Cricetulus griseus: one gene and its partner. The protein of the gene in region 1 interacts with the protein of each later gene in a biochemical or structural test. Links are inferred from orthologs where the notes say so. Each region holds a gene or a part of one and is shown in the gene's direction. Other genes may lie near its edges.

Region 1 (3,648 bases):
CTCACACCCTAGATGTAACAATAGACCCAAATACAAAAATCAAAGTAGGTGGCTAGAGATGACAGAATGGAACCTTTCATGGTCTCAGGAGGATCCAGAGAGGCTGCTTGGGTGCTGCTACTACTCTAAATCCACCTGTAAAGACCACTGGCTACATCCCAAATTACTACAATACTGGTTATGTGTGCTTTTCTATGTGCCTGTCAGATTTGCTCTGTTTCTATTCGGTGTGTGTGTGTGTGTGTGTGTGTGTGTGTGTGTGTGTACACACATGCCCATGGGGATCAAACTTGGGTCATCAGGCTTGGCAGCATGTACCTTTGCCTCCTGAGCCTCTCACTGCCCCCTTACTAACTAGTTCTGCTTTTATTCTCCAGTTTGAAAGTTCAGAAAAAAAAAAAGGCAACTTCTCGTTCTTGTAGAAATTTTACCACAGATGTGATTTTTCAAGTCATACATAGTTAATGTTTGTTCTTTCATTTAAACCACATTTTGTTAGAAAATTTTCAAGAGGTCAGCATGATCCACATGATATTTTTATGAGAAAATGAAAAATCTATGTTATGGAAACATGTTGAGGGCTTGCTTAAACTTAACAAAGCCTAATGAGAGAGAGGTGCAAACTAGGCATGGTGGTGACTACCTGTGATCCCCAGCTTCCCATAGGTGGAGACAGGAGGGCCAGAAGTGTAAGGTCATCTTCCACTATACCGTAAATTTGAGACCAGAATGGATTACATAAAACCCTGTCTCAAAAAGAAAAAAATATAAAACAACGTATGCTCTTTAATTCTGGGCCCAGATGCTCATTTTCAATATCACAAAGGAACCTGGTATTCATGTATGCATATAACCTAGTTGGCAAATTACATGACATTGCAGGGAGCTATATGTATGTCACAGCTGGTGGATCTTTACAGAAGCTGTTTTAATATTTTACAGTCTGGGGGCTTTGCTCAGCTTGGAGCATTCTCCATCAATGTCCGGTACCCTGCTTTACAGGTTGTGGGGCATTGTTCTTCTGTCTATCAAAGAACAATAGATTGGAAGACTGTCTGCTGCCGAGGCTAACCCTGGGTGATGTAACCAAGCACCTAGTCATTCTTCCAGTGCACCAACCACAAACCAGAGCACAGTTCCCCCCGAAGTCCAACCTGGGGGACCAATGAGCTTATTAGGCTTGCTACAGAGCATGTATGAGGGGTTGCTTACAGGAGCTGCACCACTGAGAAGCCTGGCTTTAGTGTGGATGATGGCTTCTACAGGGATGTGTATGGTCCCTGTCTTAGTTAGGGTTTCTGGTGCTGTGAAGAGACATCACGACCATGACAACTCTTATGAAGGAAAACATTTAATGGGACAGCTGACAGTCCATGATCATCATGGAGTGACATGGCAGACACTGTGCTAAAGAAGTAGCTGAGAGCCCTACATTTTGACTCATAGGCAACAAGAAGTGGTCTGAGACACTGGGCGGTATATTGAGCATATATGAGACCTCAAAGCCCACCTCCACAGTGTCACACTTCCTCCAACAAGGCCACACCTCCTAATAATGACACTCCCTTTGGGGGGCCACTTTCTTTCAAACCACCACACCCCTCTCACATACACCCTCACACACTCCTGCTGACCTTCACAGTCTGTGTGCTCTAGTACCTCCCAAGACCCTGAGTCTATGTTCAGTTAGGACAGAATCTCATACAGTTATCTGGGAGGTGCCAGAGAGTCACAGGAGTCCAGGTGACAGTCCTGTGATTGTTCCCACACTTTCCTTCTGTGAGGGATCAGTGGCAGACAAAGCTGGTCTTGCTGCTCTCTTGCAAAAGGCATGGCTGATCTGACAGGAATGACAGCTGTTATATTCAGAGGGAGTTAAAGATGACCTTAAACTGTTGGTCCTCCCGGATCTACCTCTGGGATGCCGGGTGCCGGGTCACAGGTGGTCACCTCCATGCCCAGTTCACACATTGTTAAAGCTCAGAGTTAAAGATAAAGAAACACTTCTCTCCCCCCAACGGGTTTTGTTAAATTTAAGCAACCCCAATGTGGTTCCAATATATAGATTTTTTTTTCATTTTCTCACTAAAATATCGCATGGATCACACCAAACTCTTGAAAATATTCTAACAAAATGTGACTTAAATGAAGGAACAAACATTAACTATGTATGATTTGAAAAACTACACCTGTGGATAAAATTTCTACACAAATGTGTAAAATGATACTAGCCATTTTTCAGAGCATTTGCGGTGTGTGTGTGTGTGTGTGTGTGTGTGTGTGTGTGTGTGTGTGTGTGTGCAGGTGCTCTTGTCACACCACCCATATAGAGGTCAAAGGACAACCCTGGGTATCACTTCTTATTTTTCATCTTGCTTGAGACAGACTCTTGGGGTTTGCTGCTGGCCCCACAAGTGTCCGTGGATTATCTCTTGTCTTCTTGCCCTGGAAGTGCTGGGATTCCAGACATATTCCACTGTATCCACTTCCTGTGGGCTCTGGGGATCAGAACTCGCGTCCTCACGCTTGCAAGGCAAGCGCCTTGCACACTGATCTGTCCCCCTAGCCTGTGGTCGTTTTCTGAATGCAGCAAGCATGTCAGCATTCCCGACCCCAGCCACCCCCGGGGAATGTGCCTCACAGGGGAGAACTTCTAGACAGCTTTGCAAGTTTCTCAGGAGCTACAATCTGTATTATAGAGTTACGAAAACAGTGGCTGTGAAAATCCTGAAGAATGAGGCCAACAACCCTGCTCTGAAGGACGAGCTGTTGGCGGAAGCAAACGTCATGCAGCAGCTGGACAACCCCTACATTGTGCGCATGATTGGAATCTGTGAGGCCGAGTCCTGGATGCTGGTGATGGAGATGGCAGAGCTGGGGCCGCTCAACAAGTACCTGCAGCAGAACAGGTGCGCGGAGCTCAGGAGCCCAGGAGCTGTGCTGTGCTGTGCGCGCCGTGCTGGGGCCTGGTTTCTGTGGGGAGCTCTCTCTCTCTCTCTCTCTCTCTCTCTCTCTCTCTCTCTCTCTCTCTCTCTCTCTCTCTCTCTCCTCTCTCTCCTCTCTCTCTCTCTCCTCTCTCTCTCTCTCTCTCTCTCTCTCTCTCTCTCTCTCTCTCTCTCTCTCTCTCTCTCTCTCTCTCTCTCTCTCTCTCTCCCTTACTACCTTCCCACATTGCTCCCTGCTCAGGGAATTGAGAAACCAATGAAGGAAGATGCAGCCTTTGGATCTAGTTCTTTTAGCTCTCTCTCCCCCACCCCCGGCTTCTTCTCCGTCTCCCTCTCCCTCTTTCTCTCTCTGCGAGTGTTTGCACCTATGGGTGAATGCAAGTGTGTGGAGAACAGAGGTCAATATTGGGTGTCATTCTCTATCCTCTGTCACTCTCCACCTTATTGTTTTTTATTTATGTGTATATGTCTGAGTGAGTGTGTACCACATGAGTGCAGATACTCACAGAGGCCAGAAGAGTCAGAGCTCTTGGAGCTGGAGTTTCAGACAATTGTGAACCTCCCAACCAAGCTCAGGCCCTATACAAGAACAACATGTGTTCTTAACCACTGAACAATCGCTTAACTCTCTGTCTTACCATTTGAGACAAGGTCTCTCATTGACACTAGAGCTCACCAATTCAGACAAACTGGGCTGGCCCGG
Region 2 (3,748 bases), on another chromosome or scaffold:
TCATACCCCTGCTGCAATTCCAAAAGTGGAGTCATATGACCTTAAAATACCTAAAGCACCAAGCCCATGTCATTTTCCGAGGTGGCTGCATTATGGAAGTCACTTTGAAGTTTCCCCTAGAGGGAAACTTGATAATGCTGTGGGTCGCAGCCGAGGAGAAACAGTGATGACGGTGGTCGTACACTCACAATGGTCATGCCTGAAGAGAAAACTATTAAAAGGGTGAAAAGCATAGAACTGCTGTGATGGAGAGACATTACCGACCATTTGATCCACATCTGTCATTGTGGAGAGGGATCTAGGACGCAGAGGACAAATGGCTCAGGAGGGCTCCTCAATGGAGAAGCCACGGCTGCTAGCCTGAGCTTTCAATATTCAGCTTGATGCATGGAAAATAACTGTCACCTCGAAACACTATAAGACTAAAAGCCAGAAGTAAGAGAGGACAACTCCAAAGATCCTTTGAGATGCACTGTCTAATTTGTTTGAGCGTGTTTAACCTCCCCAATTTATGCAGTTGACATTGAAACAGAGTCTGCGTTTCTGTATCGGAGGTAGATGGAATCTTGGCTATCCTAAGAGATAAGAGGGAGAAGACAAAGAAAATCAATCCACACTGAAGATCTACCATGCGAGGAATAAAATCGTCAGAGTCGCCAGTGTGTGGTACCGATTCGGCACCCTTCATGGGGCGTCAAAGACGCCCGCGCGAAGAGGGAGGTCTGTGGGTCACCGCTCTTCTCACACTCCGGAATCTTAAAGCAGAGGTCCGGGGACTCCCGGCAACCGCAACACGGCCCGAGCCACCCAGTCCGAGCAACTTCCCCAGCAGGACCACACCCAGTCTCCCCCGCCGCAGTCGGGTTGCCCCGGGCGCCAGGAGCGCAGGCTGTGGACCACGGCAGGCACGTGGGCTAGGCGCAGTGCTGCGCCACTTCGGCCCGCCTGACAGCCCCGGGGCTCGCGCGCTGCCCCGGCCTCTGGGGAGAGGTTCCTCCCCCTCTGCTCTGCACCAGTCCGAGGGAATCTGCGGTCGGTGACGCGCATCCTTCGGCGAGCCACCTGCAGCCCCCGGCGCGCCGCTGGGGCCGCATCGCAGGCTGGGCGGGTGGCTTGGGTACCGCGCGCTCCGGAGGCCATGCGGGTGTTGGCGCGGCGCGGCGGCCGACTGCCGCTGCTCGGTAAGGCCCCTCGCCCCCTCCCCGCCCCGGCCGAGTGCGCACCCCCGCCCCCGAGCTCCCCTCGCCGCCGTGTCCCTCACCTCTTTCGCGCCCTCCTGTGCAAGCGGTGAACTTGGCTGCGGCTCGCCCCCCCCCCTCCGCTCTCGCCCCCACCCTCCTCCGCAGCGCTCCTCCGCAGTCCCCAGGCCGCCGCGCCTAGGCTTGGGTTTGGATGCGCGCGGCCAGCCCTGGAGTCTGGGCAGTGCAGGTGGCCCAGGACCCCCTGAACTGTCCCCCTGGCTACTGTGGAGTCTCGGGAAGTGGCGTTCTCACCTCTTTGAGGCATGGGTTGACTGAGTAAACTCTAATGGGAAAACGGCATCTTCTGTTAGAGCGGTCATCCCCGCTGGTGACCCCCACCTGTGCCAATTTTCGGTTAGATCAATGGCTAGTTACTTTGGAAATACTATCCGAAACGGATTTACAAATTAAAATATTAGCGGTCCTTCTGTTCTTATCCTAGGATTAAACCCTAGTGAGATTTTCAAGGACTCTGAGGACTGCCCTCCCAAATTACCTGCTTGGGTGGTAGCTGTGATTGAAAACGTTAACCATAAAGAAAAGTTCCCCTTCCGACCCAGTTCAGATCGGTTCGCGTCAGCTTTCTATTTGGGAAGATGAGGGGGTTGGATTGAATTTAAGTTGGAGACAGAGTTCTGGGAGCCTGGAGAAGATCGGGCCCTGCCCTAGTTTTGCAGCCTTGGGAGGCACTCACGGCCTGGCCTTGGCGTCCTCATCTGCCCGGTAACCTACTTCCCCTTCGGCTCCAACGCTTAGGAATAAGGCTTGAACATCGACGACAAATAGAAAAAATATTTACAATATAACCAGCAGAAATTATTTCCGGTCGCTTTAAAAAATAAGAATTACAAAGTAAAAAATGTAGAATATAAAGAAGTGGGAAAATAGACGTTTTACCTTTCTTAAACAGTTTTGTAAATAGGTATATTTCAAATACATAGCTTTGCTTTTCAGGTTCTGTTAATGCAAAAGGGTTTGGTTGTGTATGCTATTAGTGCCTTTTTCCATAGCAGAAAAGATTTTCTGAAGGGCTGAAGGGGTCTAGGGAAGTAACTTGGTATCAGAGCAGCACTTGCAACCACACTCAAACCGCACTAGACTCCTTCTTAGGAAATGTCTATATTCCTCTCCAGATTCAAAATGCAACACACAGACAACAAATATGCACAATCTTAGGAGTCCATCCGTCCGTTATATTTCAGTATGTCCTCGTAATCACGGGAGGGGGTCAAAACACAGGGTGGCTCAGCTCCAAAGTGACCACCACTCTGATTATCTCAAACTCTGTATTACTTTTGCCTGTTTTTGAAATTCACAAAAAGGAAATCACTATTATACCCCACCCCTCTCCTTTCTTTTTTCAGTGCTGGGGATCGAACTCAGGGACTCACATAGATGAGGCACTCTCCTAACTCTTCCTTCATGATCAATTTCTTTCTGTACTACCTGTTTTTATGTGTGGACAAGTGTTGACCTCCATGGGCATGTGTGCCTGTGAAGGTCAGAAAAGGTGGCCAACTCCCCTTGAAATGAATTTGCAGATGGTTGTGAGCCACCGTGTGGGTGCTAGAAACCAAACCCAGGCCTTCTGCAAAAACAGCAAGTGCTCCTAACTGCTGAGCCAGTTCTCCAGACCCAGTATTCAGCCTCTCTAACTCAACAGTGCTTGTGAAAGAAGACTTTGTTCCCTGTAGTGTAGTTCTTGAAAACAGTGCTGGCTGCCATTCTTTGATATGATACTCTTTGCCCTGTGTTTATACATTCCTTTGATGATCATTAAAGCTCTTCTTGGACTAAGGATGTGTCTCTATAGCAGAGTACTTGCTTAGTATACATGAAACCCCTGGGTTCAATTCTCAGAACCCCCTTTTTTAAAGTTGCTTCTGTTTTCGTTGTAAATACAAACAATACTCTGTGTCCATCATCTGGTTTTGGTGGACCTGAACTCTCATTTCTTGTAGGATTTTCCCAAAGGGAGGGCATATATGCAATTTGGGTAGGTACTGCAGAGGTGTTTTCCAAAGTAGTTGTACCAATTCACATCCCTACTAGTGGTATGGAAGCTCCAGCCCACACCTTTATGATGCTCACTCATAAATATTTTCTTCTTGGGTAAAGTAAGGATCTTAAAAGTAAGGACTTTCAGCCAAGCATGGTGGTGCACACCTTTAATTCCAGCACTCAGGAGGCAGAAGCAGGCATATGTCTATGAGTTCAAGGCCAGCCTGGTCTACAAAGCTAGTTCCAGGACAGCCAGGGCTGTTTGTTCACAGAGAAATCCTGTCTGGAACAAACAAAAAAAGAGTTAAATTTCTTGCATTACAAAGAAAGAGGTTGGTTTCCTTTGTAAGCACTATTTTTCATGGATAGAGGCTCTGGAAGAGAGGGAAGGTGTGACTGGATTTTTCTTTGGGCTGCCACCTCACAAATAATGACACGGAGACTTCATATTCATTAGGAAAGCTTGGTCTATAGCTTACGCTTATTCCAAACTAGCTCTTATAACT

Evidence for each region. The genes of interacting proteins can lie anywhere in the genome.
Region 2: of the proteins of Syk (region 1) and Flt3, one has a biochemical effect on the other in vitro, tested with the Homo sapiens proteins (2 studies listed by IntAct, with this or other methods). The link is inferred for Cricetulus griseus from reciprocal best matches to the Homo sapiens genes SYK and FLT3.

The regions. Positions count from the first base shown.
Region 1 is NC_048596.1:271,569,833-271,573,480, forward strand, and holds part of Syk (tyrosine-protein kinase SYK), read left to right. Parts: intron 1-2,699; coding exon 2,700-2,909; intron 2,910-3,648. UniProt on the Homo sapiens protein: Non-receptor tyrosine kinase which mediates signal transduction downstream of a variety of transmembrane receptors including classical immunoreceptors like the B-cell receptor (BCR).
Region 2 is NC_048597.1:83,274,681-83,278,428, reverse strand, and holds the start of Flt3 (receptor-type tyrosine-protein kinase FLT3), read left to right. Parts: upstream 1-1,138; coding exon 1,139-1,280; intron 1,281-3,748. UniProt on the Homo sapiens protein: Tyrosine-protein kinase that acts as a cell-surface receptor for the cytokine FLT3LG and regulates differentiation, proliferation and survival of hematopoietic progenitor cells and of dendritic cells.